7 linked regions of the Macaca fascicularis genome follow. The protein of the gene in region 3 interacts with the protein of the main gene of each other region in a biochemical or structural test. Links are inferred from orthologs where the notes say so. Each region holds a gene or a part of one and is shown on either strand. Other genes may lie near its edges. The genes, in order: CHD8, CBY1, CTNNB1, UBE3A, HNF4A, MUC1 and CSNK1A1.

Region 1 (4,183 bases), on a different chromosome or scaffold from region 3:
GATGAGGTACTAACTCAGGACAAAAAAGATGAAGTTTGTACAAGGCAGACATCTGTTGTCATGGGTATCTCAAGGGCCTTTCTGAACTCCTTATAACCTTGTGCCTACATCATTTGTGGCATCATCCAAAGTATACATTTCTTAGATAATGGAAAACTGTAATTTTTCCATGTTTCTACATAATGTGAGAATGTTTGCCCTCATATTATTGATTTCTTTTTCTGTCTGTAATGGACTACAGGTTCAAAAGCTACAGGCCATTCTTAAGCCAATGATGCTGAGAAGACTCAAAGAGGATGTTGAAAAAAACTTGGCACCCAAACAGGAAACTATTATTGAAGTAGAGCTGACTAACATCCAGAAGAAATACTATCGGGCTATTTTGGAGAAGAATTTCTCCTTCCTTTCCAAAGGGGCAGGTCATACCAACATGCCTAATCTACTTAACACAATGATGGAGTTGCGCAAGTGCTGCAACCACCCATATCTCATCAATGGTGAGGGAATTCTTGGTATATACCTGAACTTCTGAGTACCTGTGTTTACTTTCTAGATGATACTCCTTGGGGACAGTGAATGCATTGACTCATCCAACCTAATTTGGGGTGGGGACTGAGGAATGGGAAATGGTTCCCCTTTTTAAAAAGAGATTCTAAGCCTGGGCAACATGATGAAACCCCACCTCTACAAAAAATACAAAAATTAGCCAGGTGTGATGGCAGGCATCTGTGGTTCCAGCTACTTAGGAGACTGAGCTTGGAGGATCGCTTGAACCCAGAAGGCAGAGGTTGTAGTGAGCTGAGATCGCACCACTGCACTCCAGCCTGGGCAACAGAGTGAGACCCTGTCTCCAAATAAAGTAAATATAAACAATTCTTATTTGGAATGTTTTTCCTCTAGTTCTTTCTACCCCTTTGATCCTGCATAATCTCCAAAATTAAATAGTATTTGCTGTTTAGAATTTCATGAATAAAAACTCAGGTTAGCCACACAGTGGCATGTACCTATAGTCCCAGCTACTTAGGAGGCTGAGGCAGGAGGATTACTTGAGCGCATGAGTTTGAAGCTAGCCCTGTCTCAAAAAAAAAAAAATCTCAAGTTACTGTGTTCCTTGGATAAATGTCCTCATCCACCCTCCATTTTGCTGTTTCTGTCTCTTTTTTGGGTGCTGGTAGTGTGTTCCATCTTAGTCCTTGTCCACATATTTACATCTTTTTTTACCCAATTATCATAGGCCTGCCTTACTTGGCATATTTTGTATGACACAACGAAGGATGATTTAAATTTTTTATTTTTATTTTTATTTTTTTTTTGAGATGGAGTTTCACTCTTGTCACCCAGGCTGGAGTGCAGTGGTGTGATCTCGGCTCACTGCAACCTCTGCCTCCCGGGTTCAAGCAATTCTCCTGCCTCAGCCTCCCAAGTAACAGGGATTACAGGCGCCCACTACCACGCCTGGCTAATTTTTTGTATTTTTAGTAGAGACAGGGTTTCGCCACATGGGGCAGGCTGGTCTCGAACTCTTGACATCAGGTGATCTACCTGCCTCAGCCTCCCAAAGTGCTGGGATTACAGGCGTGAACCACCGAGACCAACTGATTTTTTTTTTTTTAAACACAGAGTCTTGCTTTGTCGCCCAGGCTGGAGTGCAGTGGTGCGATCTAAGCTCACTGCAAACACCACCTCCCGGATTCAAGCGATTCTCCTGCCTCAGCCTCCTGAGTAGCTGGAACTACAGGCCTCTGCCACCACACCTAGCTAATTTTTGTATTTTTAGTAGTGACGGGGTTTCACCATGTTGACCAGACTGGTCTCGAACTCCTGACCTCAAGTGATCCATCCACCTGCCTCGGCCTCCCAAAGTGTTGGGATTACAGGCGTGAGCCACCATACCCAGCCGATTTAAGATCTTTTGGTGCTGAAATTCTGTGTGTGAGAAACGTTGGTCTAAAGTTAAATTATATTTTTTTCCCTTTGCTTTCTTGATTAAATAGACTACAACCTTAATATGGCTCACTGGATCTCAATTTAACTTGATTTTTCTTTTGGCAGGTGCTGAAGAAAAAATCCTAACAGAATTCCGTGAAGCTTGCCATATTATACCTCATGACTTTCATCTGCAGGCCATGGTGCGTTCAGCTGGCAAACTGGTTCTTATTGACAAGTTACTTCCAAAACTTAAAGCTGGTGGCCATAAAGTTCTGATCTTCTCTCAGATGGTACGCTGCCTAGACATCCTAGAGGATTATTTAATCCAGAGGAGGTAAGAAAAGGGTCATCCTAGCCTGTGGTTACTCTGTCCTCATAAAGCAGCAAAAAGTAGGAGGGCCTGAGTTTAATTAGAGTTGACGAATTGCAATAACAGGAGTTTTTAAGATTCTCACTCTCAACTTGGGTTTTTGACCAGCTTTGATATGGGAGTACTGGTATTGATCCTAGCCTGCTGTTTCGGTCTCCACTTCTGCTTAGCCACTTATATTTTTTTTTCTGTGAACAGGTACTTATATGAACGCATTGATGGGCGAGTTAGAGGAAACCTTCGACAGGCTGCCATTGACCGCTTCAGCAAACCTGACTCAGACCGCTTTGTCTTCTTACTGTGTACCCGGGCTGGTGGACTTGGTATTAATCTTACAGCTGCTGATACCTGCATCATCTTTGATTCAGACTGGAATCCACAAAATGACCTGCAGGTAAAGGAATTCATTGTCTTAGGGAGTAACTACCTAACTTGGGAGATTTTTCAACAAGAATGGGATCTTTTAGAAAGGACTTTCAGAGAGTTTGGAATTGTTTCCTTAGTTAAGGGTGGCAGTTAGTTCAGGGAATCAGCAAACGTTTTCTGTAAAGGACAAGATAGTAAATGTTTTAGGCTTTGTGAGCCATCGATTCTCTGTTGAAACTGCTCACCTCCAAATCCTGTAGCACAGAAACAGCCATAGATAATATGTAAATGAATGGGTGGTCCCACCTGTGTCCCCATTGAACTTTATTTATAAAAACAGATGTCCACGCAGACTTTAGTGTGCTGACACCTGGTCTACATAATATGGTGATAATTTCATCTTGAAATTGACTCTTGGTTTTGAGTTTATCTCATGGCTGCTCTATAGAGGTGAAAGAGTCATAAATCGGTATTTTGTATCCTTTCCCCTGCTAATTTTATGGTATCTTTCTTCTTTCCTTTCATTTTTATTTTAAACCAGGCCCAGGCACGATGTCATCGAATTGGGCAGAGCAAAGCTGTGAAGGTGTACCGCCTCATCACTCGTAATTCCTACGAGAGAGAGATGTTTGATAAGGCTAGCCTCAAGTTGGGATTGGATAAAGCTGTGCTTCAATCCATGAGTGGTCGGGATGGCAACATTACTGGAGTGAGTCTTCTTAGTTTATAGATGAGTTTGTAGTGAGTCATTGTGATAGAGGAAAACAAAAGCTGTTTTTACACAGGGATTTGACTACCTTATTTGGATTCTTAATTATTATTTCTTAAAATGTAATAGATAAAATATTATGGCATGGTTAGATATTATTCTGTTGATAGTCTTTTCATCTTTCTATTGGTTTTTACAGATCCAACAGTTCTCTAAGAAGGAGATTGAAGATCTTTTAAGAAAAGGAGCATATGCAGCCATCATGGAGGAAGATGATGAAGGCTCCAAGTTTTGTGAAGAGGACATCGACCAGATCTTGTTAAGACGAACTACAACCATCACCATTGAATCTGAAGGAAAAGGTTCCACCTTTGCCAAGGCATGTTCTGTCTGTGCCAGAGGCTAGAAAGGCAGAGATAGAGACTGGAATCTCTAGGATTTAATTATGTTTTTATGCTGGGGATGGTGGCTTATGCCTATAATCCCAGCACTTTGGGAGGCTGAGGCGGGCAGATCATTTGAGGTCAGGAGTTTGAGACCCAGCCTGCCCAACATGGTGAAACCTTGTCTCTACCAAAAATACAAAAATCAGCCAGGAATGGTGGCATGTGCCTGTAGTCCCAGCTACTCAGGAGGCTGAGGCAGGAGAATCACTTGAACCTGGGAGGTGGAGGTTGCAGTGAGCTGAGATTGTGCCACTGCACTCCAGCCTGGGCGACAGAGCAAGACTGTCTCAAAAAAAAAAAAAAAAAGTTTTTAAAACATAGTTGCTGATTTTGCACCACTTAAAAAAAAAAGTCAGCTTTACC
Region 2 (4,630 bases), on a different chromosome or scaffold from region 3:
AATTCCTGACCTCGTGATCCACCCATCTCGGCTTCCCAAAGTGCTGGGATTACAGGCGTGAGCCACTGCGCCCAGCCCAATTTACTATTATTTCTTAATGATTAGTGTTCGTATTCTATTTTTAAAATGTTTGCCTACCCCAGGCTGGGTATGGTGGCTCATGCCTATAAATCCTAGCACTTTGGGAGGCAGAAGCAGGCAGATCACTTGAGTCCAGGAGTTCAAGACCATCCTGGGCAACATGGCAAACAAAACCCTGTCTCTACCAAAGATACAAAAAATTAGCTGGGCGTGGTGGTGTGCGCCTGTGGAGGCACATGGGAGGGACTACTCAGGAGGCAGAGGTGGGAGGATTGCTTGCACCCAGGAGCCAGAGGTTGCAGTGAGCTGAGATTATGACACTGCACTCCAGCTTGGGTGACAGAGTGAGACTCCATCTCAAAAAAAAAATTCGGGCCAGGCACGGTGGCTCAAGCCTGTAATCCCAGCACTTTGGGAGGCCGAGACGGGCGGATCACGAGGTCAGGAGATCGAGACCAGCCTAGCTAACACGGTGAAACCCCGTCTCTACTAAAAATACAAAAAACTAGCCGGGCGAGGTGGCGGACGCCTGTAGTCCCAGCTATTTGGGAGGCTGAGGCAGGAGAGTGGCGTAAAACCTGGGAGGCAGAGCTTGTAGTGAGCTGAGATCCGGCCACTGCACTTCAGCCTGGGTGACAGAGCGAGACTCTGTCTCAAAAAAAAAAAAAAAAAAAAAAAAAAAATTCGTTATAAAGATGCATTTTCATTCATCATATTGGCAAAAATTAAAAAGATGAATAATACCCATGGTTGATGAGGATGTGAAGAAAAAGACACTGTTATTACTGGTAGAATCAGAAGATGCTATAATTCTTTCAAGGTCACTCAAATAAAACTTGGCAAAATTGTAAATGTGTACACTTTTTGGACAGCAAATCTACTTCTAAAATATTACACTCTAGAAAGACTTGGACATGCTCACACCCAGTGTTCTCTAGTGTTGATAACAGTAAAAAAATAAGAAACAATCCAAACAATTTGGGTGTAGCCAAATAATTTGTGGCACATTATTATTATAAAATTGTAGGCCTAAGCTGGGCGCGGTGGCTCACACCTGTAATCCCAACTACTTGAAAGGCTGAGGCAGGAGAATCGCTTGAACCAAGAAGGTGGAGGTGGCAGTAAACCAAGATCGCGCCACTGCTCTCTAGCCTGGGTGACAGAGCAAGACCCCATCTCAAAGGAAAAAAAAAAAGAAAAGAAATAAAGATCTAGAAGGATACACCAAATTGCTCATAGTGGTTAAACCTGAAAAAGGGAATAGGATGACTGGCTTGAATGAAATTGTCATTTTATAGATCAAAAAAAGGTCAAATTGTGACAATTTCATATGGTACAATATAAAATTATATTAAATATACTCGAGATTTAATGAATTATTACAATGAGAATATATTCATGTATTATGAACAAAATAAACAAAACACAGTTAAAAAGCAGCCCCCCGCCACCGGGCGCGGTGGCTCACGCCTGTAATCCCAACACTTTGGGAGGCCGAGACCGGCGGATCACGAGGTCAGGAGATTGAGACCATCCTGGCTAACACGGTGAAACCCCGTCTCTACTAAAAATACAAAAAATTAGCCGGGTGCGGTGGCGGGTGCCTGTAGTCCCAGCTACTCGGGAGGCTGAGGCAGGAGAATAGCGTGAACCCGGGAGGCGGAGCTTGCAGTGAACCGAGATTGCGCCACTGCACTCCAGCGAGACTCCATCTCAAAAAAAAAAAAAAAAAAAAAAAAAAAAAAAAAAAAGCAGCCCCCAGCACTCATAGCACCTAGAGACATTTGAAGAAGGAGAAATAAGCCAAGTCCCCACTGACGCTAATTGCACTGGGCCTGAGCACATGGGCTGGACACAACCAGGTTTCGGGCCTGACTCTGCCCCTCAGTTGCTTGCTAGACCTTGGTCCAGCTGCTTTACTTCTCGGGCTTTAACTGGGGTACTTCACTCATGACCGCACTAATTCTCATAACACTACAGCTGGGAACTGTCATCTATATATTACAGATGAGGAAGGGTCTGGATTAGCTACCTTTTAAGTCAGATCTAATAATCCACAAACAGCTCGGCTGAGATCCTGGGATTCTGGGGCATCCGCGTGCACTTGAGGTACAAGCTGTTCCCTTGGCCGATGGCGACCTTCTTTCTAGTGAAACTCCGGGGGGCGAGCGTGCTCGGCACAAAGGAAGTGAAGGGGGAGCACCTGGCTTCCAATGATCACTCTGCTGCTCACCCACAGTGCGACCCCAGCATTTATCCTCCTTGGGCTTCGGCTTCTTTCTTTGCAATGAGGAATAATAATAGTACCTGGCTCACAAGATGTTATAGTGTTTTAGTGTTTATAAGAAGCTGTGCACTTGATCCTCACAACGACCCTGGGAAGAGGATCAAGTAAGTGGGGCCTCCCCAATCCACAGATACTGATCACTAATCATTGTGTAAAGGTTTTCTGTTTGCAACAGGCCATGAAATATATTATCTTACTTTAATTCTAAGAAAACAAGGGAGGAACCTTTGGCTTTCATCGGATTCTCAAAAGTATACGTGTCCCCCAAGGAGTTCAGAGCTAGCCATGTTACGCAGGTGCACGGCCCCCAGGGCTGTCGGACTCAAGTAACAGCTGTCAACAAACGTTCACACGCACGATCTCATGCAATCACCTTCACGGCGACCTACGGGGAGGAATTACCGCCCCAATTCACAACTGCGGAGACACACAGAGGAGGGCGGCCACCGCCCGGGGTCGCCAGGCCTCCGCCCCCTTCCCCGCGCCCTCCCGACGCCTCTCTCCAGGCGAGGCCCGGGCGTCCCACCCAGCTCGGGCCCCCACGTGAACCCAGGCCGTGCTGGCCGGCGACGCCGGACTCGGAGACGTACCTGACGCGTCCCAGAAGCCAGGGTCCAAGCGCTCCCCGAAACCCCCTATCAGGGACTCTGTAGTACAGATATACCTTGACCCACCCGCCTCCTGCCGCCAGCCCGCCACGCGCATGCGCCACCCCGCCCGGCCTCTACCACCGAGGAAAGGGGGCACCGGCGCGGGGGTTCCCAGCGCCAGCCTGCGCGAATCCCCAGAAACTCCGTGAATCACCTCGGGATAGTAAACGGATTATACAAAGGCAGTGTCTTCCGGGGTCCTTTTCGTGCCTCCCATTACAGGCTAGGACCACGACCTGCACTCACCCTCCCCACAGACACATTGGTCTGGGCCCCCGGCGGGGCTGTCACCATGGAAACGGCGTCTAGCGGACAACGCGGCGGCTCACGACGCTTCCATTGTTATGGGAAACGCGAAAGTGGTGACCGCGCCGGCGTTGCCTGGAGAACGCCTGGAGTCAGAGTAGCAAAATGGGCCTCTCCCCAACTCCCCTCCTCCTCCCTCAGCACAAGGCAAAGGGCACCCCTTGCTGTGAGTTTGGGGCACCGAGTGTCGGGGGCCCACCCAGAACTTTGCGGGATCCACTGAGGGACCCGTGGCGGGACCGGCCCCGGGTGCGTCAAATTCCGCCGATGCTTTCAGGTAAGATGGACGGACAGACGCACCATGACCCACCCCTGGCAGTCTGCCCCCTCTCCATGCCCTTATGGCGGCTTCTACAAGCAAGGGAAGCCGAGGCCCAGGGATTACTTAAAAGTCGCACTGTGAGCAACGGACAGAGAACTACTGGACGATCAACTCCAGGCCTCCTAGAGTCCTAACAGCGTGTTATTGGTTCCATCTCATAAGTGAAGAAACTTAGGTCGTTCAAGGAGTTTACCGGCTGCCTAGTGGGTGTACCAAGGCATCCATCTAGTGAAGGGCAGGACCCAGGGGTCTTTGGCTCCAAGCGCAGTTCTCTTCCGACTATACCACCCTGCATTAAAAGAGGGGAGACTTCCATGTCCTAGAACTAAAATCTTCACAGTCTGGCTCAGCATTGTACAATAGAAACATAAAGCAGGCCACATATGTGATTTGGAATTCTCTAGTAGCCTCATTTTTTTAAAAGTTAAAAAAAAAAAAAGCCAAGTGAAATTAATTTGAGTAATGTTTTAACTCCATTTGTCTAAAACATTACTATTTCAAGATATAATCAGTATTTCTAAATTTATACTGCTTCCATTTCAAATTTTATTTATTTATTTATTTTTAAGACGGAATTTCACTCTGTTGTACAGGCTGGGGTGCAGTGGCGTAATCTCGGTCTCTCGGGTTCAAGCGATTCTGCTGTCTTAACCTCTCGAGTAGCTGGGATTACAGGCGCCCGCCACCACTCCCAGCTAATTTTTTGTATTTTTAGTAGAGACGGGGGTTTCACCATGTTGGCTAGGCTGGTCTCGAACTCCTGACCTCAGGTGATCTGCTTGACTCAGCTTCCCAAAGTGCTGGTATTACAGGTGCAAGCCACTGCACCCAGCCAAAATTTGAATTAATTAAAATTAAAATTTTACTCTTGGCTGTTCTATCTATGGAGTAGCTGTTCTTTTATTGCTTTAAAAAATTTTTACTTTTTTTTTTTTTTTTTGAGACGGAGTCTTGCTCTATCGCCCAGGCTGGAGTGGCGCGATC
Region 3 (4,183 bases):
AAAAGTAATTTTTCTTTGTACTAAAAAATCTAAAATTCACTATTCTAGTCACCAAAATTTGCTCTATGAAAAATAATTTTTGATGGCACTGTATTATATCAGAAAACAACTAACTTGTTAATGAAAATGTGGAGTTTTTAAAATCCCACTGTACCTCTGTTATCCAAAGGGGATCTGTGAATTTTTCCGTGAAAGGTTAAAAACACGAGAGACCTTTTGGAATTCAGAGAGCAGCTGATTTTTGAATAGTGTTTTCCCCTCCCTGGCTTTTATTATTACAACTCTTTGCTTTCTCATCACCATCCTGATTATCTGTAATTTATATTTCTACTATTAATAAAAAGATGTATTTGGTAAGGAGGAGTTTTCACTGAAGTTCAGCAGTGATGGAGCTGTGGTTGAGGTGTCTGGAGGAGACCATGAGGTCTTGTGTTTCACCAAATAACCTGGTAAAAGAGTATATGGGGTTTTTTTTGTGGGTGTAATAGTGACATTTAACAGATATCCCAGTGACTTAGGAGTATTAATCAAGCTAAATTTAAATCCTAATGACTTTTGATTAACTTTTTTTAGGGTATTTGAAGTATACCATACAACTGTTTTGAAAATCCAGCGTGGACAATGGCTACTCAAGGTTTGTGTCATAAATCTTTAGTTACTGAATTGGGGCTCTGCTTCGTTGCCATTAAGCCAGTCTGGCTGAGATTCCCCTGCTTTCCTCTCTCCCTGCTTACTTGTCAGGCTACCTTTTGCTCCATTTTCTGCTCACTCCTCCTAATGGCTTGGTGAAATAGCAAACAAGCCACCAGCAGGAATCTAGTCTGGATGACTGCTTCTGGAGCCTGGATGCAGTACCATTCTTCCACTGATTCAGTGAGTAACTGTTAGGTGGTCCCCTAAGGGATTAGGTATTTCATCACTGAGCTAACCCTGGCTATCATTCTGCTTTTCTTGGCTGTCTTTCAGATTTGACTTTATTTCTAAAAATATTTCAATGGGTCATATCACAGATTCTTTTTTTTTTTTTAATTAAAGTAACATTTCCAATCTACTAATGCTAATACTATTTCATATTTATAGCTGATTTGATGGAGTTGGACATGGCCATGGAACCAGACAGAAAAGCGGCTGTTAGTCACTGGCAGCAACAGTCTTACCTGGACTCTGGAATCCATTCTGGTGCCACTACCACAGCTCCTTCTCTGAGTGGTAAAGGCAATCCTGAGGAAGAGGATGTGGATACCTCCCAAGTCCTGTATGAGTGGGAACAGGGATTTTCTCAGTCCTTCACTCAAGAACAAGTAGCTGGTAAGAGTATTTTTCATTGCCTTACTGAAAGTCAGAATGCAGTTTTGAGAACTAAAAAGTTAGTATATAATAGTTGAAATAAAATGTTGTGGTGAAGAAAAGGGAGTAATAGCAATGCCACTTTTACCATTTAGGATAGCAAATACTTAGGTAAATGCTGAACTGTGGATAGTGAGTGTTGATTAACCTTTTCCAGATATTGATGGACAGTATGCAATGACTCGAGCTCAGAGGGTACGAGCTGCTATGTTCCCTGAGACATTAGATGAGGGCATGCAGATCCCATCTACACAGTTTGATGCTGCTCATCCCACTAATGTCCAGCGTTTGGCTGAACCATCACAGATGCTGAAACATGCAGTTGTAAACTTGATTAACTATCAAGATGATGCAGAACTTGCCACACGTGCAATCCCTGAACTGACAAAACTGCTAAATGATGAGGACCAGGTGAGCAATGACATGGCTAGCTTTTTAGTCTGCTTTGAAGTAAATGCTCAAGGGGAGTAGGTTCAGAATGTCTACCCACTACCAGGACTTGAAAACTAATGATGTTTCTGATTCTTGTATTATAGGTGGTGGTTAATAAGGCTGCAGTTATGGTCCATCAGCTTTCTAAAAAGGAAGCTTCCAGACACGCTATCATGCGTTCTCCTCAGATGGTGTCTGCTATTGTACGTACCATGCAGAATACAAATGATGTAGAAACAGCTCGTTGTACCGCTGGGACCTTGCATAACCTTTCCCATCATCGGGAGGGCTTGTTGGCCATCTTTAAGTCTGGAGGCATTCCTGCCCTGGTGAAAATGCTTGGGTAAGAAAACATTGTCAGAATGCTTGAAGCTAAAAAGTAGAAGAGTATAGTCACAATAGTTCTGATGAGGCTTTTTTCTTCTTCCCAGTTCACCAGTGGATTCTGTGTTGTTTTATGCCATTACAACTCTCCACAACCTTTTATTACATCAAGAAGGAGCTAAAATGGCAGTGCGTTTAGCTGGCGGGCTACAGAAAATGGTTGCCTTGCTCAACAAAACAAACGTTAAATTCTTGGCTATTACGACAGACTGCCTTCAAATTTTAGCATATGGCAACCAAGAAAGCAAGGTAAGAGAATTCTTCTTTATGTGGTTTTCATGGAGCATCGGACACTTCCAGTGTCATGTCATTCCATGCAGTGTTCCTAACCTTTTTGGCACCAGGGATCAGTTTCGTGGAAAACAGTTTTTCCATGAATGGGTTGTGGGAATGGTTTCTGGATGACACTGTTCCACCTCAGATAGTCAGGCATTAGATTCTCATAGGGAGCGTGCAGCCTAGATCCCTCGCATGTGCAGTCCACACTAGGGTTTCCGCTCCTATGAGGTTCTCATGCTGCAGTTGATCTGACAGGAGGTAGAGCTCAAGCCAGGTAATGCTCGCTCACCTGCCACTTACCTCCTGCTGTGCAGCCCAGTTCATTTCTGTTCTTTTAAATTTTTGAGTTTCCATATGTAAAGCACTATGCAAAGTAATAGGGATATCATAGGCAAGCTTCTCTTCACACTTTTGTAATTAGGTGGGATGTAGATGTTGGGAATAATAACCTAATATTTAATTCATGTAGTGGGAAGAAGTGGGGGCTATGAGAGCACATTACACAAGTGAAACAGACTCTTTATGAGGGTTCAAGGAGGTACCTCTTGGAGGAAGTGATAGTTGAGTTCAGTGTTCAAGGATGAGAAGGGATTCACTAGGTGAAGGTTAGGTGAGAAACAGCATCTTTGAAACGAAGGAAGGAGATGGAAAGTTTTGGGAATTTAAGAAATACTAACAGTAAAGAGGAAGAAAGGTTTGAGGTGAGGCTATTGAGATAGACTCAGCAGATCTCATAGGGCTTTGTACAGCATGTTTAAAAGCACAATGGGAAATTTCAGCAGAAGCATGAAATGATGAAATTTGTTTTTAGAAAATTGGGGCAGTGTTGAAAGGGAAGATACACAGGGGATGAAAGGACAAGAGTGAATGATCATTTTATGGTATCTCTTTTTAAGGTGGATATAATTAGGAAAATTAAAGGGCCAAGTGATAAGGAGTTTTAAGTGCCAGTTCTGGTTCAAATTTTCAGTGAATCAGTTTTGATATAACTTTCATCTTAGGGCATTAATCTTGCCTGCCAACATGGTTTCTAAATTTTTTTCTTCTGCTATGATCAGTATGGGAAGAAGGAAATTGGGCCAAAACTGATACATTCTTGGGAGGACTGGGATGTCTGAATTTGAGTGGAATGCTTTAAAAGGACAAGTTGGATAGGGCCCCAGTATGGGGGTCAGAGTGATGGGGTCCAGGGATACATTTAGGTCCAATGACAAGCTGGCTGAAATTCTTGTATAATAAAATATGTTGGTAATATGGCTCTTCTCAGACATGTGATCAAGATTCCATGACTAACAAGATATGTATATATCTTTCTAGCTGATCATACTGGCTAGTGGTGGACCCCAAGCTTTAGTAAATATAATGAGGACCTATACTTATGAGAAACTACTGTGGACCACAAGCAGAGTGCTGAAGGTGCTATCCGTCTGCTCTAGTAATAAGCCAGCTATTGTAGAAGCTGGTAAGTATATGTATCTATTCTGAGTCTTGTGTACAGCATCTGCAGTTCTAATTAGATTACTTTTCTTAGGAAAAGGTGGTAGAACTTTAACGACTGAAAATAGATGGTCCTATTCAATTTGCAGCCAAGATTACATTCAAGTACCTGTCATCTGGATTGTAGCTAAATATTTAAGGCTAGTTTAGATAGAGTTCTTATTATCCATCAATGATGGCATATATTTTGCTTAATAAAATTTGTTTGTAATTTCAGTTTTGAGTAAACCTAAGATTTGCTAAC
Region 4 (3,713 bases), on a different chromosome or scaffold from region 3:
ATTTACAGATGAACAGAAAAGACTCTTCTTGCAGTTTACAACGGGCACAGACAGAGCACCTGTGGGAGGACTAGGAAAATTAAAGATGATTATAGCCAAAAATGGCCCAGACACAGAAAGGTAATGATTAAGTGGTGACTCTATACCTACTGAAAACCTTGCATTCCTCATCACACACATATGAACTGTCTTTATAGTTTCTAAGCACCTTTGTGATTTTATGTACAAATCCTGAAATCATATTAGACAATTGAGAAAATATTTTGCTGTCATTGTGTGAGGAAACTTTTAAGGAATTGCCCTAGTTAAAAATTATTATGGGACTCACATTGGTTTGGAATTTTTCAAATTAGTATGATTCATTTACTTTTTTGATTCCCAGCTTGTTAGTTGAAAGCCATGTTACATGATAATCTATTTAGAATGGTTACATTGAGGCTTGGAAGATTATCATTCGATTATGCTAGAATCCCGTTATCAAATCATTTTCATAGTCATATTGCCAGCAGTATTTCTAATAAGCATTTAAGAGCACACAGTTTGAAATGTTGTAAACCAGGTTTGAATATTTTCTCCACCTTAGAGGAAGTTACTTCTCAGTGACCTAACCTCTGAAGTGCATTTATTGATGTCCTCTCTGTGGTTTTGTTGTGGAAAAAGATTTAGTGAAATGAACTGTAATAATTAAATACCTAAAACGGTATCTGGTATGTAGTAAAAACTCAATGGATAAGTATCTTATCATCATTGTTACTAGCTTTGAGTAATTTATAGGATAAAGACAAACTGATTCTTGGTAGTTACACAACAAAAAGTTTATGATTTGCATTAATGTATAGTTGGCATTGCAAACCATCTCAACTATATATAATTCTAAGTGTATTTCCCATGACTTATTATTTTCCTGTTTTTTCCCCTTTTCTCTATTTAGGTTACCTACATCTCATACTTGCTTTAATGTGCTTTTACTTCCGGAATATTCAAGCAAAGAAAAACTTAAAGAGAGATTGTTGAAGGCCATCACGTATGCCAAAGGATTTGGCATGCTGTAAAACAAAACAAAATAAAACAAAAAAAAGGAAGAAAAAAAAAAAAGAAAAAATTTAAAAAATTTTAAAAATATAACAAGAGGGATAAATGTTTGGTGGTGATAGTGTCCCAGTACAAAAAGGCTGTAAGATAGTGAACCACAGTAGTCACCTCTGTCTGTGCCTCCCTTCTTTCTTGGGGACATGTGGGCTGGAACAGCAGATTTCAGCTACATATATGAACAAATCCTTTATTATTATTATAATTATTTTTTTGCGTGAAAGTGTTACATATTCTTTCACTTGTATGTACAGAGAGGTTTTTCTGAATATTTATTTTAAGGGTTAAATCACTTTTGCTTGTGTTTATTACTGCTTGAGGTTGAGCCTTTTGAGTATTTAAAAAATATATACCAACAGAACTACTCTCCCAAGAAAAATATTGCCACCATTTGTAGACCATGTAACCTTCAAGTATGTGCTACTTTTTTGTCCCTGTATCTAACTCAAATCAGGAACTGTATTTTTTTTTAATGATTTGCTTTTGAAACTTGAAGTCTTTGAAACAGTGTGATGCAATTACTGCTGTTCTAGCCCCCAAAGAGTTTTCTGTGCAAAATCTTGAGAATCAATAAAGATGGAAGGGAGAAATTGGAATGTTTTAACTGCAGCCCTCAGAACTTTAGTAACAGCACAACAAATTAAAAAAACAACTCATGCCACAGTATGTTGTCTTCATGTGTCTTGCAATGAACTGTTTCAGTAGCCAATCCTCTTAGTATATGAAAGGACAGGGATTTTTGTTCTTGTTGTTCTTGTTATTTTAAGTTTACTGGGGAAAGTGCATTTGGCCAAATGAAATGGTAGTCAAGCCTATTGCAACAAAGTTAGGAAGTTTGTTGTTTATTATAAACAAAAAGCATGTGAAAGTGCACTTAAGATAGAGTTTTTATTAATTACTTATTACCTAGATTTTAAATAGACAATCCAAAGTCTCCCCTTCGTGTTGCCATCATCTTGTTGAATCAGCCATTTTATCGAGGCACGTGATCAGTGTTGCAACATAATGAAAAAGATGGCTACTGTGCCTTGTGTTACTTAATCATACAGTAAGCTGACCTGGAAATGAATGAAACTATTACTCCTAAGAATTACATTGTATAGCCCCACAGGTTAAATTTAATTCAAAACATGTTAAACATTACTTTCATGTACTATGGAAAAGTACAAGTAGGTTTACATTACTGGATTTTCGGAAGTAAGTAGTTTCCCCTTTCCTAGTCTTCTGTGTATGTGATGTTAATTTCTTTTATTGCATTATAAAATAAAAGGATTATGTATTTTTAACTAAGGTGAGACATTGATATATCCTTTTGCTACAAGCTATAGCTAATGTGCTGAGCTTGTGCCTTGGTGATTGTTTTAACTGATTACTGTAGATCAACCTGATGATTTGTTTGAAATTGGCAGGAAAAATGCAGCTTTCAAATCATTGGGGGGAGAAAAAGGATGTCTTTCAGGATTATTTTAATTTTTTCATAATTGAGACAGAACTGTTATGTACCATAATGCTAAATAAAACTGTGGCACTTTTCACCATAATTTAGTGGAAAAAGAAGACAATGCTTTCCATATTGTGATAAGGTAACATGGGGTTTTTCTGGGCCAGCCTTTAGAACACTGTTAAGGTACGTACGCTACCTTGATGAAAGGGACCTTCGTGCAACTGTAGTCATCTTAAAGGCTTCTCATCCACTGTGCTTCTTAATGTGTAATTAAAGTGAGGAGAAATTAAATACTCTGAGGGCGTTTTATATAATAAATTCGTGAAGAAATGTGTGCTCTTCAGTTCTCAAGTTTTATTATTACGGTACTGAAGTTCTATGATTTTGTAATAATGTATCCATATGACAAATTTTAAAGTGATAATTGAAATAGGTTATCAGATACAGAATTCACATCAAGTAGACTTCTAACAGAGTCACAATGAACCTACCCTTAAAATTTTAGAGGGAAAAAATCATCAGTTGCACAGACTAGCTGCTCTAGCTTGCTTAATTATGCTAGGCATGTTGTCACTCCCCTTACTTTTGCTGCATGGAATGTCCCTGAACAATAAGGAAGAGGAAAACATAGAAGTTTTGACGATAGTGGATACTTCCTCTACCCCAAATGTTATGTTATAAAAGTACTTTTTTGCCCAGGTACTCTATTGTATAGTTTGGTTTTCTTTGAATTAGACCTCAATCTCCAGGAAGCTCTGGAGGGAAAAAAAGGAACCATAAACTAAAGTAACTGGTTTTCCAAATAAATGCTAACTTTTTTTAACTTTCATTGTAGAACATTTCAAACATAAAACATGAAAACAGCCTGCAGCCAAACTTTTCTGGACCTTGGCAGCTCCAGCAAATGAGCTGGTCATCCTAACCTTGGTTTCCTGAGATAACTACTTTTGGGGATGCTTGCTTGTATAGGGAGATCCATATCAAAAAGAAACTTGAAAATGAGGCTTCAAACAGACCTTGCTGTTATTCATCCCTCCTCGGTACAGACATTCTGTTAGAACAGATGGTTGTAATGGGGCAGCATCACTCCCTGTTCCCATTAAAAACATGACCCTTCTGAGATTCCAGGCCCCTTTGAGGAATTTCCCCAAGAATTCCATACAAACTGTCAGAGAAAGAA
Region 5 (4,967 bases), on a different chromosome or scaffold from region 3:
GTGCTTGGTGCATAGTAAGCACTATATCAGTGTTCGTGAAATAAAAACTTTTCTGCATAGGAAAACTCTCAGAGCAGAGGACTTCCAGGCTCTGTCACAAGCAGACACTGCCGCATCTCATTTCTGCCCTCACAGACTCCCAGGTGTCCCCAGGACTTGGTGAATTATTCCTGGAGATGGGGATAATTGTTAAGCCACATGGGTGCCCTTTCTCCCTCGGCCTCTCCTCCCTCGACCCCGGGGGAGACTGACCCCACAGCTCCTGGTCATTCAGTAGGAGGCTGGGGAAGTAGCTCCCAGCTCTGGGGCAGGATGGGCTGGGGGCTGTCAGCTCTATCATCTCCCCTCTGAGGTCAGCCGAGCACCTCCATTCTGCAGGTGAGGACGCTGAGGCTTAGAGAGGACAAGTGGCTTTCTGATGTCATCGCACTGCTTGCTGTGAAGCAGAGCCACGGGTTTATGGTCCAGGCTTGCTGGGCTACTCCGGCCAGTGCCGCACATGTTGAGGTGTCTGCTGGGGCCTCTAATGAACAAGGAGCCCCCTGGGGCTGCCGCTGCATTGGGGTGGGGAGTGGACGGGGAAGAAATATCCTTGGAGCCTTTGAGCCACCAGCCCAGGATGTACTCAAAACACTTCAGAGGACAACTTCACATAACCCCAATTCAGACCACTTCCAACTCCAGTGAGGAACGTGGGAACCCTGCTTACAGATGCTCAGAGCCCTTGACACAACCCATGTTGGGGCCAGGCCCTTTACCAGGGCTAAGCACCGAGGCACCTTGTTTTATTTATCCTCTGGCCAGTGCTGGGAGGCAGACACTATTATTTATTCCCATTTTATAGATGAGGAAACAGGCTCAGAGAGGAAACTGCCTTGCCACGTTCACACAGGTTGGAAGGATCTATGCTGGATTTGCGCCCAGATCTTTCTGGTTCCAGAGCTGGAGGTGATCTTGTCTTTGGGACATCCAGTTCAGGGGCTTGGCCTCTGCCTCAGGAGCACACAGTTCCTGGGCTTTGAAAAGGTGATGGGGTCGGGGAGCAGCCCGGGGCAGGGCAGCGGTCCTCGTGGGGCCATGCGACACTCCACCTCGTACAGCTTCAACTTGTTTGCTATCTCTGGTGTGTTTTCGCCTCGCATGGTCCTCAGGCCTAAAAGTCGGCCAGCCAGCAGGCCTGGAGGAGTGAAGCCTGTTTTGTAGAAGATACAGAAGCCAGGAGAGGGGAGGTGACATGCCCAAGGTCACACAGTGATTGGATAGCAGGGGCAGGTGAGCACCTGCTGAGCTGACAACAGGCAGTGCCCAGCGGCTGCCTCCTCGCTCTAGCTGAGCTGACCACAAGCTTCCAGGCCTCAGCTGGAGCTACAGCCTGATACTGGCTGTGTGGCTCCAAGACACACAAGGAAGTGGGGTGGCAGGCTGACCTCAGCCAGCTGCTGCCCCCTCTCCTCTGAGGCTGGCCTGGGACCGATGGCGCCCTTCCCTCCAGGAGGGGTTTCCAGGCCTCCTCTTTTCCCCTACCTCCCTGGGGAGGAGAACTGCCCGCCCCTCCAGATATGCTCCGGAGATGTCGGAGGGATGCCTAAATCTGCAGAGACACGCCCGCAACAAAATCTGCTCAGAGACAAACAGACATGTTGCTGATGTGAATCTCACTTGGTGAATGGCAGCAACAAAGTCCTGCACTTGGGTCTGTGCAATCGGGCACACCAGAGACCGCTGACCCCGCCCGCAGTACGGGGGACTGCATATGTACACAGGTACACATGGGCACACCACAGACCGCTGGGCACACCACAGACCGCTGACCCCCGCCCGCAGTATGGGGGACTATGTGTGTACACAGGCACACATATGGGCACACCACAGACCGCTGACCCCCGCCCGCAGTACGGGGGACTGTGTGTGTACACAGCAGGTATAAATGTGGGCACACCAGAGACCGCTGACCCCCGCCCGCAGTACGGGGGACTGCATATGTACACAGCAGGTACAAATATGGGCACACGACAAAACGCCCACACAGGATAAAGATGCAGGAAGAACAGGGCACTCCAACAGGTCTACATGCACAAACACATGTGCTCTATGACCCGCACACACAGCACACATGTACCAACATCCACAGACACACATACACACACATAGTCACTTACATGCATAAGCAAGATCAACACGGGCACCTCCTAGAGACACAAACACAGACCCACTCAATGAATACAAAGGAAAATAGACCCAGAACTCACACACAGAGACAAATGAACACACATATGCAAATGTGTTCCTGAAGGCATCACCCCACCCATACAACCTACATGGAAACTCACCATCACACACGAACGCACACACCACACACACAGTGCTGAGTTGGCTTTGTAGTTAGCAAGACTTCCCTGAGAACTCCATTTTCCCTAGGAAAGTCCCAAAGACACCAAGAAATGCAGTTATGTCTCCAACCACCATCTCCAGGGATACAATGTCCCTTGCTGTCTCTCTGAACCTAGGCCCAAGGGGTTCACAAAGCGGCCGTGCTGGGCTGAATTGCTGGAGCTGGGCACCAAGGGGGAGCTCACCATCACGTCACTGCGCCAAGCGCCAAGCGGAGCCGCTGTGAGGCAGTGAGGAATGGAAGGGCCTGGGAGGAATAGCCGGGATCGACTTTTGCTGGAAATTGGCCCTTGCAGGCCTCCCTTCCCCCGGAATGCCCGTGATCACTGCACCTGGGCACATGGGCTTCACCTGGCAACACCTGTGCTGGCCTGCAGGACCAACCTACCATTTTCTATCATTCTCCTCCCACCCCCAAGTTGAGTGCCAAAGATCTGTTCCTGGACCCAGGCACACCTGCCCCCACTGACACACCTGCCCCCACCTACCGTTGCCCATCGTCAACACCTGCACATTCTCAAATTCCAGGGTGGTGTAGGCTGGGTCCAGTGCAGCACTATAGTCGGCCATGTCCATGTCGACGAGGGTTTTGGAGAGTCGCATTCTCCCTGCCTCCACGCCGCGGCCACCTGCCCTGCCCTGGGCGCCCACCCGGAAGGCCCCCGCCCTCCGCCCTCCCACTGCCTCCTCCCAGTGCCCTCTCTGCCTTCCTTTCAAACCGTCCTCTGGGAAGATCTGCTGGGAGTCTTGGCCTAGCCTCTGTGAAGGGGTGGAGGCTCTGCCGGGGAGGGGTGGGGGTTAATGGTTAATCGGTCCCCCGCCGGTGGATAGGCAGGGCGGGGCTGCAGGGATTTGGCTGTTTGTTGGTTTCTGGCTGACACCCGGGGTGCTAATTACAACTGTTGAGGCCCTAACTCACCGATGTTCAGTTATCAATTGTACAAGGCAGGCATCATGACTCATGGGCACTCATTTGACCCTTGACTCACCCACCCCTCCAAGCCATTGTCACCCCAAGTCAGGAATTCTAACTGATACTATCAGGCACTGACAGCCTACCTCCGAGATCCCCTAATTCAATAACTTCCCAAATCATTGACTTCTACCCTCAATGCTCTTGCGGAGATAAGGCTGCCCCATGGCCCATGATTTAGAAACCTAAATCCCAGGCCCCAGATGCCAATCTTCTGAATCCTTGTTCTGGGAGCTCCCTTCCAATTCCCCTGCAGTTTCCCGGTTCCCCTGGGAGCAGAATGGACTGGAAGTTTGGGAGGGCCAGACTCACCTCCAATTCCCTGCTCCTGCTCCCTGTGATCCCACCCTGCCCCTCACCATCTCCCACAGCTCCCAGTGTTTCTGCCCAGGCCAACTCCATCTCGGATTTTCCCGTCACATTCTCCTGTTTCCCCCACCCCCACCCCCTCCCAGAGCAGGCAGATACCTGGATTTACATTCTGGCGCCTACCATCTACTAACTGGGACCTTGGGTAAATGATTCTCTCTGAGCCTCAGTTTCCTTCTCTGTAAAATGTACAATCAGCCTCAAAGGGTGGTCTGAGAAGGAAATGAGATGGCATAAGTCACACACCAAATGGGGCCTCATAGACCTCCATTCTCTTCCTCCTCCCTCTCCCTGTTGTGTATCCCCCTTTCCATCCCCGTTTCTCTCCACCTGTCTCCTACCTTCAGAGTGGGCTTGGTGGGGGTATCGCCAGTGCAGTCACAGGCAGCCCAACCCTTAGAAAGTCCTGGTGCCTGGTTCATCATGACTTAAAATCCATCATGACTTTTGAACAAGGGGTTGTGCATTTTTGTTTTGGTTGGGGCCCTGAAAACTACACAGCTGGTCCTGGCTGTCTGAAGCTCATGGTGCGCTCTGTTCTTCTCACTCCCTCCAGCCCTCATTGCCTTCTGTGCAGACATTTTCAAGGGCTGCCAATCAATCTGGGGAAGTAAAGTCTTGATGTAGAAGGCAGAGAGTGAGGGCAGAGGAAGGAAAGCCTGAGACTTGGGAGGCCTGGGAGCCTGTCCTCTGCTGCTGACTGGAAGGGCAGGTTGGAGGGACTTGGTGACACCTGTGAGCACGAGTGGGTGAATTAGTGGGAGCACCAATTAATGAGTGAGTGTGTGGGGGAATTAATGAGTGGGTGAATTAGGAGTGATTGAATTAGAGACGGTGAATTAATGAGTGAGTTGACTGAATGCATGAATTGAGTGAGTGAATGAATGAATGAGAGGGTAAATTACTGAGTAAGTGAGCAAATGGGTGGGTAAATTAATAAGTGAATGGGTGGGTGAATTAATGAGTGAGTGAATGAGCAAATGGGTGAAAGAATTAAAGAGTGGGTGAATTAACGAGTGAGAGAATGAGTGAATGTGTGGGTGAATTAATGAGTGAGCAAATCGGGAGTCAGAGCATGTGTTTGAGTGCTCTGAGGAGGCATCTCCATGTTCTTCCCACTGCTAGAAGCCCTTTCTCTGCCCTGCTTAGCTTTATTCTCCCCACTTGATCTGACCTCTGAAGCTGAGATGACTGGGAAGTGCTATATCCTGCAGGGAAAGGGGAGAAGGAGCAA
Region 6 (2,777 bases), on a different chromosome or scaffold from region 3:
CACCACAGCTGCCAGGAGACATAGCTCTCTGGCTGCTGGCAGCAGGCCCCAACCAGGGCATCCGGGCCTGCCCTGCAGCACCAGGCCCTGGGGGAATGCGGTTGAGGGGACAGGCAATGTGCCTGGGCCCAAAGGGATCAGGGAACCAGAACCACTTCCCCATTCTCAGGGTGTTGTGGAGCCCACCCCAGGGGCAGCAGGCTGGTGGGGCAGCCGGGGTCAGGGAGGGGGCTGGGCCTGGTGCCAGCACCTGGATCTGACCCAGCCTCCGCTTATCTCAACCCTGTTGACTCTGGGCTGTTAATCACTGCCCAAGGATTTACTTCACACCCGGACAGCTAAGAATAGAGCCACCTGGGGGCACTGTGCCAGGGGGCAAGGAGGGCGTGGGCCAGGCGAAGAGGGGGAGAGCCACTGGCACACAGAGCCCAGTCACGGAGCCCAGTCATGCCAGCCCTCCAAAACCCGCCTGGGTTTCGTTTCCTCCTTCCGCTTGTGCTGCCAGGGTTAGCCAGAGGTGGCTCCTCAGGCCACCCCTATACCCCAACGTCACCTCCTCCTCACATCTCCTGCTTCTCAAACAAACCTGCTCCTTACTGCCTCCTGGCCTCCCTGTCTCCTCCCCCAGGCCTCTCACACACATTCTGACCGCCCTGCTGCCCACGGGCCACAGATGAAAGATCAGAAGTTGGCGCAGCGGGAGGCCACGTTTTATTCAGTCCTGTTCAGGTCCCCTGCTATCTCCGGGCTCTCTGGGCCAGTCCTCCTGGGAGCCCCACTGCAACACTTCCCAGGCATAAGCCCTCAAGGGCCCCCATGAGCTTCCACAGACCGAGAAGGTTCTGAGAACTTGGTGGGGCCTCTGAGGAAGGCTGTGAGCAGCCCACCTGAACTCCCAGCTCACCAGCCCAAAACAGGGTGCAGGGGCTCTGGCCCTGAAGAACCTGAGTGGGGTGGACTGGCACTGGCTGGCCACTCAGCTCAGTAGGCGACGTGCCCCTACAAGTTGGCAGAAGTGGCTGCCACTGCTGGGTTTGTGTAAGAGAGGCTGCTGCCACCATTACCTGCAGAAACCTAGGTGGAAGGAAAAGAGATCCAGGGTGAGAAGCAGAAGGTACCTCCTAGAGCCCCTGGATGCCACCCCAGGCTGGGGTAATCAGTCCAGAGTCCTGGCCAGCTCTCAAAGGGCTTATTCAGAGAGAGCACCTGCCACCCCACCAGCCAGTAACTGTAAACAGGGCTGCCCTCCTCCCTCTGCTCTCCTTCACTTCCTCTTCTTGGCTCTAATCAGCCGCCTTGTCCCCCTATTCTCTGCTGTTCCAGTCAAAGAAGGTGTGTAGGTGTGTGTGTGTGTGTGCATATGTGTGTGTGTGTGTGTGTGTATCTGTGTCTTTGTAAAACCGAGAGAGGGAGGTCTCCAGGACGAGGAAAATAGGAGCAAGAAAAATAAACTCCTCTCTCCTCCCCAACCTGGAGTGGTTTTCCAGCCTCAGGTGGCTGCAGTAATTATTTACTAGGTCCCACAGAGAAAAGCCAGGAGAGGAAGGAGGGAGGGTTCCTTACTTCCTTGAAGCTCCCAAGAACCCAACTGGCACCCAGGCTCACCTGGTCTGCTGACACTTCTTCCTCTACCTGGGAAACCTCCCCCTACACCAGCCTTTCTCGGTCTACCCTCTATTCCTAGGAGATGATCAGGGGCACAGGGGTTCCCCCCTGTGACTCCTCAGGAAGGGCTCCCCTGGGCATAGTGCTCTACCCATTTTGCCTCTGGGTGCAAACAAAACAAAACAAAACAAAACTGCTGTGGTGGCACCAGTTCAGCCAGGGCCAGCCAGCATGAATGTGGACAGCCAATGCTCTTTTAGGAATTCTGGTAGTGGGGCCACTCCCTCTTGAGGGCCCCTTTCTTTCATGGTCTCCTCCCAGGCCTGTCCCCCAGAACTCCTCTGACCTCTGCGCCCCCATCCTTGCCAGGTCCTCCTCTGCTCACTTCATGCCACTTCTCACCTCTTCCAAGCTCTTTGGGTTTTCCAAGTACCCCCTTCAGAACCCTTGCCCAGCCAAAGCCTCTGCCTCCCCCGGCCTGTGGGGCCCAATCTCACCTCCTCATAGGGGCTACGATTGGTACCACCAGCGGGCACATAGCGCCCATGGGTGTGGTAGGTGGGGTACTCGCTCATAGGATGGTAGGCATCCCGGGCGGGAAAGATGTCCAGCTGCCTGTAGTTCTTTTGGCGGCACTGACAGACAGCCTGGGGAAATAGGAGGTTATGGCAGACCATGGAGTGCTTTCTGTCGGCGGGGGGGTGGGCACTGATCAGGGCCAGGGACTGCACTCACCAAGGCAATGAAATAGACGATGGCCAGCACAACCAGAACACAGACCAGCACCAGGAGCGCAATGCCCCAGCCTGGCACCCCAGCCCCGGTTTGGGCAGAGAAAGGAAATGGCACATCACGCACTAAAAGGAAAAGCAGTGGTTAGGGCAGTCTCCCAGAGGAGGTGCCCCTCTAACTGCCAGCACTAAGGAAAAAGTGGGGAACTAGACACTGGAAGGAGAGGGGCCCCAGCATGGTGCTGGGCTGCAGCCAGGGAAGTAGCCTCACCGCTGATGTCTGAGATCGTCAGGTTATATCGAGAGGCTGCTTCCGTTTTACGTTGATTGAACTGTGTCTCCACATCGTGGACATTGGTGGTACCTTCTCGGAAGACCAGAGTCGATTGTACCACCACAGATCCTGGCCTGGTCACAGGGAAATGGGCACTTCAGCCACAG
Region 7 (4,908 bases), on a different chromosome or scaffold from region 3:
TTTTTAAGGACAGTTTTATTTGGGTTGTTTCCATGTAAAGACTATGCAACCCAGTCCTTAATTCAAGATACGAAAAATACAAACTGGAATAGAAAAAGGGGCTACAGGCCGGGCCTGGTGGCTCACGCCTATAATCCCAGCACTTTGGGAGGCCGAGGGAGGTGGATCAACTGAAGTCTGGAGCTGGAGACCAGCATGGCCAACATGGCAAAACCTTGTCTCTACTAAAAATCAAAAATTAACCTGGCATAGTAGTGCAAGCCTGTAATTCCAGCTACTTGGGAGGCTGAAGCAGGAGGATCACTTGAACCTGGGAGGCAGAGGCTGCAGTTAGCCAAGGTTGCGCCACTGCACTCCAGCCTGGGCAACAGAGTAAGACTTCGTTTCAAAAGAAAAAAACCTGGGCACGGTTGCTCATGCCTGTAATCCCAGCACTTGGGGAGGCCGAGGCAGGTGGATCACCTGAGGTCAGGGGTTCGAGTACAGCCTGGCCAACATGGTGAAACTAAAATACAAAAATTAGCTGGGTGTGGTGGCGGGCGCCTGTAATCCCAGCTACTCAGGAGGCTGAGGCACTAGAATCGCTTGAACCCAGGAGGCAGAGGTTGCAGTGAGCCAAGATCGTGCCATTCACTGCACTCCAGCCTGATCGACAAGAGCGAAAACTCAGTCTCAAAAAAAAAAAAAGAGAGTCTCCAGCAAACAGTAAACACCATTCTCACCTATTCTGAATATTTTTGCAAAAGGTATTTTAGATTGTTGCTGAAAAATAGCTTGGTTTTAAACTATATTTTAGTCTCCATTCCATGAAGAGGCTCTTTAATCCCAAAAGTTAAAACATTACTCTAAAACCCTCCAAAGTAAAGTTAACCATTTGACAGAACAATGTCTTTCTATCTCGTCATCTTTTATCCGCGTTACTGCAATTTGCACTCACCAATATTCCACACCAACAAAGGCCGCAATTTCTCTGATATTAAGATTTACTGCCAAACTCAACAGGTTAAAATTACTTATCAAAGTGTGGCTAAGTGATTAAGATTTCTTTTAATACAATTGATTTGAGTAAATTTTAACATAGTTGGTGCTGCTCAAACTGCCTTTGCCATTACCTATACAAATTTAGTCCCGACTGAAATGTGCCAAATATGACCATTCACGAAAGGAAAGAGTAATTAACACTTTTAAAAGAACCACAAAGGATTTTACATAGTATAATTCAACAATTTCATGTCACATCTGCTGCAGAGATCACAAACATTGTCACTATGCCATCTCCTTCCTCGAACCCCCACACCGCCTCCTGCAGCTTTATTCTTGGCTTTTCAAAGGTTTAATCCACTCGGGGCTGCTAAAGGAGGAATCAAGGAAGCATAATTTGTGAACCCAAGCTGAGAAAAGGGCAGGAATATGGGGTTGAGTCACGTCGTTCCGCCATTTTCTAAGCGGAGGAGGAAGACATGTTGGAACAAAAACACAACAAAAGAGCAGCCATTTCCCAAGCCAGCTCCAATAGCAACTCGAACTGACACCGCCGGGTCGCTTCAGCACCTTCAAATCCACTTCACTGGACAAACCTAAGAACATCAGACGTGCCGCCGTAAAAAAGGCAGCAGCCAACCCTTCCGCGTAGGGATCAAAGATGACCCGCACGCATAACTGCAAACGAAAGCCTCGGGAAGAGAATGACGGAAGCGAAATGGAGCAGTGTAATACAATGAAATAAGTTGGCAAATTGAAATTTACTCAGTGATTGCGATGACTTACAGGAAGGCACCAGCTACAAGGAACCCAGGTAACCAAAACAAGACCCGGATTCAGCTGGTCTCATTACCTGCCTCTACCCACTTCCCCATTCCGTGCTTCCCTCAGCGGATCGCCTACATGCACGGGGTTCTTACCGTATGTGGGGGATGCCAACCCCACCTTGAAGAATCTTATAGAGCTTGCTCTCGTACAGCAACTGGGGATGCCTGGCCTTCTGAGATTCTAGCTTCACTGCCACTTCCTGCAGGGGAAAGAGGGGATGATGGCATCAACATCCCTACGGATTCAGTGTCATTTAGGAAAGGAGAGAGACATTAGCAAAACTCCAAGTCGCGACTACAAGGAAGAAGTGAAAAGCTGGAAAGAGAAAGCTCTCTGTAATTATAAAACGAGGCAACCAGCCTCAAAGGCCTCTTCAGGGGGTAGTGACGAAATCGTACGTCCTCTAAAGTGCAGGAAAATGATTCATCCAGAAAAAAGAGGCAACCTCTGAACGTAGTGAGAGGTTTTTAAGGAACTAGGCGATCGGAAACTGTTCTAATTGGAACAAGAGGCCCAGCAGGATTAAAAATTAAATAAAAGAAAAGAAAAGCAAAGCATGGGAATCACAGAAAGAGGATTTTGCCGTTTCCACCTTAAAAGTCGGTTAAAAAAAAAACAGCTCGACCAAGGGACATTTATGGGAAGTGTTTAACAAGCTGGGAAACTAGTTCCCCCACCCTTTTCTATCGGGTTCTTGACCCTTTTAGGGAGAGAGCGGGCGAGGATCGCAAGCCAGGAAAACTAGCTCCCTGGACTCCCTGGCGAGTGCGTGCGGTGAGGAGAGGCCCGAGCACTTTGGGGGTGCGCGGTGGTGGTGGGGGGAATGAGGAAAAGCGCAGCGTTATCGTGAACCCCACCCCAGGTGATTACCTCGCCGTTGGTGATGTTGATCGCCAGATAGATGTCCCCGAAGGAGCCAGACCCGATCTTCCGTACCAGTTTATATTTCCCTCCGACAATGAATTCGGCCTTAGAGCCGCTGCTACTCGCCATCCTGAGAGACGAAGATGGAGTCTGGGGCCAAGCCCCGACACCTCTGGGAAGACGACGGAGGCCTCTGGGGCTCCTACACTGGGCAAGGCTACGGAGGAAGGCGGCAGGAAACAGAACACGGAGGCCTTTACCGGCGTTCGGGGCCCAGAATCAGCCGAGGGGAACCTGATCACCGCCGCTCAGTCAGGTTTCTTTTTGCCAGGCCGCAGTTTGTGAAGGGCTTCTCGCGGTTACCAGGCTGGGCCACTTGTTTCTCGGCGGCCGCCGCTGCCTCGCTTGCGCGGCGACGTCGCGGGCTGGAAAAGGGGCGCGGTGAGCTAGGGCGGCGATACAGCTACCACCACTGCCGCCGGCTCCGGCCCTGAGGGACCCCTGTCACTCCGCCGACGCCGCCATCTTGTTACTCCAGCTCCAGCCAACACAAAATGCCCCCAGTCCCCGGGAGCCGCTTCTTCACGGCGCAGAGCACTCTGGGAAAGGGATCTGGGGCGCTCGCTCCGAAGGATCGGCAGCTAGAGGGCGGAACCGGATCCGTGAGAGTCGCGGCCCACGCTCCGAGCGTCACCCTGTCACCGCCCAGTAGCGCATGAGCGCTGCAACTCCTGCTGACTGCGCAGGCGTGCCGCGGCCTGCCTCACCCCGCCCCGGGCTTTCTTCCACTTCCGGTCGGCGGCGGCTCAGCCGGTGTTACCTGTTACTCGCCTCGGACCCGCAGGGTCTCTGGAAGGCTGAGTGGCCCCAGGCCTCGATGTTGGGAGGAGTCACCTTCATGTTTCGTGTCAGGCCTCCTTAGGAGTTGGGTATTGACCTTTGCTCTTTGAGGCGGTTTTTAACCTTTGATCTTTCTTCTGGCCGCTCCCCAGGACCGGCCTATTCCAACCCAGTTTCTGTTTGGAAAGAGGCTATCGCCTCTGGTGGAGAGGAAGAGAAAAGCAGCCCGCGTTGAGGAATCGTTCAGGGCTCTCGGTTATAGCAAAACCTAGCTAATTACCCTTCATAATTAGAATTTTCTTCTCTACTACGGAGTGTTATAGACCCTCTTTCCACAGGAGGGGAAAAAAGAAAGAAGCCGGAATCCCCCTGCCGTCCTACGTCTTTGCATTATTGCCTCACTACCACTTTTGATCTTCAGAAGAAAACCCAGTATCTTGTTCATAGTGAAGATTAGGGATAGATGGAATCAACAGAAAATTAATTTAACAAGAGTGAAAAAACTGTTATGCCCCCCAACCCCACCAAAACAACAACAAAGAATCGTATGTTGGTCATGTTGAAAACCGCAGTATTAACCTGAACAGAGTAGAGGTAACTATTACAAAATTTAATTGACAACATTTAAAGCTACACGGAAATTTTTTTCTTTTTTACTAAAAATCGATCAGAGAATCAAATCTTGACCACGTTTTGTATTACAAAATTTGACCTGGGAAAATTGGGTTGAGTAATAGTAATGTTCACAAAAGAAAGCTCCATGGTTTATGCTATCATCTTAAGTCAGACCTCAGTCGTAAACATTTAAGCTAAGCCTATCTTAAATAAAATTTAATTAAAATAGAAATGAGGGCTGGGCGCAGTGGCTCACGCCTGTAATCCCACCACTTTGGGAGGCCGGGGCGGGCAGATGACTTGAGGTCAGTTGTTCGAGACCAGCCTGGCCAACATGGCGAAACCCCGTATCTACTAAAAATACAAAAATTAGCTGGGTGTGATGACGTACACTTGTAACCCCAGCTACTCGGAAGCGGAGGTTGCGGTGAGACTAGATCACGCTACTGCACTCCAGCCTGGGCAACAGAGAGACCCTCTCTCAAAAAAATAATTAAATAGAAATGAGAGAAAAATGTGAAGAATTTTAACTGCAACTTTGAAAGGTGATCAAGTAATTAAGGTTAGTAATAGGGTTCATCTCGGAAGATAACTGAAGAGAGAGGGGAAGAGACTTCCCCTAAAGTTTAGCATGAAGTTTTAAGGCACAACCAACACCCAGGGTGCCCAACTCCCAAATCACCACTATTAGACATCGTTCGCCTTTGGTGACTCTAAAGCATGTTTTGACTAAGTTAAAATCTGCTGTTAAATTCTGGTCTAAAACGCAGCCGGGTGCAG

Evidence for each region.
Region 1: the proteins of CTNNB1 (region 3) and CHD8 form a complex in vitro, tested with the Homo sapiens proteins (3 studies listed by BioGRID). The link is inferred for Macaca fascicularis from reciprocal best matches to the Homo sapiens genes CTNNB1 and CHD8.
Region 2: the proteins of CTNNB1 (region 3) and CBY1 form a complex in vitro, tested with the Homo sapiens proteins (2 studies listed by BioGRID and IntAct). The link is inferred for Macaca fascicularis from reciprocal best matches to the Homo sapiens genes CTNNB1 and CBY1.
Region 4: of the proteins of CTNNB1 (region 3) and UBE3A, one has a biochemical effect on the other in vitro, tested with the Homo sapiens proteins (3 studies listed by BioGRID). The link is inferred for Macaca fascicularis from reciprocal best matches to the Homo sapiens genes CTNNB1 and UBE3A.
Region 5: the proteins of CTNNB1 (region 3) and HNF4A form a complex in vitro, tested with the Homo sapiens proteins (2 studies listed by BioGRID). The link is inferred for Macaca fascicularis from reciprocal best matches to the Homo sapiens genes CTNNB1 and HNF4A.
Region 6: the proteins of CTNNB1 (region 3) and MUC1 form a complex in vitro, tested with the Homo sapiens proteins (5 studies listed by BioGRID). The link is inferred for Macaca fascicularis from reciprocal best matches to the Homo sapiens genes CTNNB1 and MUC1.
Region 7: of the proteins of CTNNB1 (region 3) and CSNK1A1, one has a biochemical effect on the other in vitro, tested with the Homo sapiens proteins (2 studies listed by BioGRID). The link is inferred for Macaca fascicularis from reciprocal best matches to the Homo sapiens genes CTNNB1 and CSNK1A1.

Annotation. Positions count from the first base shown.
Region 1 is NC_088381.1:89,079,657-89,083,839, reverse strand, and holds part of CHD8 (chromodomain-helicase-DNA-binding protein 8), read left to right. Parts: intron 1-241; coding exon 242-497; intron 498-2,052; coding exon 2,053-2,263; intron 2,264-2,497; coding exon 2,498-2,693; intron 2,694-3,206; coding exon 3,207-3,374; intron 3,375-3,573; coding exon 3,574-3,753; intron 3,754-4,183. UniProt on the Homo sapiens protein: ATP-dependent chromatin-remodeling factor, it slides nucleosomes along DNA; nucleosome sliding requires ATP. Acts as a transcription repressor by remodeling chromatin structure and recruiting histone H1 to target genes.
Region 2 is NC_088384.1:12,995,119-12,999,748, forward strand, and holds the start of CBY1 (protein chibby homolog 1), read right to left. Parts: upstream 3,076-4,630; 5' UTR 3,074-3,075; coding exon 2,959-3,073; intron 2,754-2,958; exon of another isoform or gene 2,114-2,753; intron 1-2,113. UniProt on the Homo sapiens protein: Inhibits the Wnt/Wingless pathway by binding to CTNNB1/beta-catenin and inhibiting beta-catenin-mediated transcriptional activation through competition with TCF/LEF transcription factors.
Region 3 is NC_088376.1:104,069,508-104,073,690, forward strand, and holds part of CTNNB1 (catenin beta-1), read left to right. Parts: intron 1-573; 5' UTR 574-621; coding exon 622-634; intron 635-741; exon of another isoform or gene 742-873; intron 874-1,080; coding exon 1,081-1,308; intron 1,309-1,504; coding exon 1,505-1,758; intron 1,759-1,883; coding exon 1,884-2,122; intron 2,123-2,210; coding exon 2,211-2,412; intron 2,413-3,759; coding exon 3,760-3,904; intron 3,905-4,183. UniProt on the Homo sapiens protein: Key downstream component of the canonical Wnt signaling pathway.
Region 4 is NC_088381.1:3,748,206-3,751,918, forward strand, and holds the end of UBE3A (ubiquitin-protein ligase E3A), read left to right. Parts: coding exon 1-120; intron 121-931; coding exon 932-1,052; 3' UTR 1,053-2,863; downstream 2,864-3,713. UniProt on the Homo sapiens protein: E3 ubiquitin-protein ligase which accepts ubiquitin from an E2 ubiquitin-conjugating enzyme in the form of a thioester and transfers it to its substrates.
Region 5 is NC_088384.1:100,475,043-100,480,009, reverse strand, and holds the start of HNF4A (hepatocyte nuclear factor 4-alpha), read right to left. Parts: upstream 3,119-4,967; 5' UTR 2,995-3,118; coding exon 2,880-2,994; intron 2,757-2,879; exon of another isoform or gene 2,577-2,756; intron 1-2,576. UniProt on the Homo sapiens protein: Transcriptional regulator which controls the expression of hepatic genes during the transition of endodermal cells to hepatic progenitor cells, facilitating the recruitment of RNA pol II to the promoters of target genes. Activates the transcription of CYP2C38.
Region 6 is NC_088375.1:105,954,124-105,956,900, reverse strand, and holds the end of MUC1 (mucin-1), read right to left. Parts: intron 2,745-2,777; coding exon 2,608-2,744; intron 2,463-2,607; coding exon 2,341-2,462; intron 2,253-2,340; coding exon 2,103-2,252; intron 1,075-2,102; coding exon 1,000-1,074; 3' UTR 689-999; downstream 1-688. UniProt on the Homo sapiens protein: The alpha subunit has cell adhesive properties. Can act both as an adhesion and an anti-adhesion protein. May provide a protective layer on epithelial cells against bacterial and enzyme attack.
Region 7 is NC_088380.1:156,430,843-156,435,750, forward strand, and holds the start of CSNK1A1 (casein kinase I), read right to left. Parts: upstream 3,275-4,908; 5' UTR 2,803-3,274; coding exon 2,680-2,802; intron 2,009-2,679; coding exon 1,902-2,008; intron 1-1,901.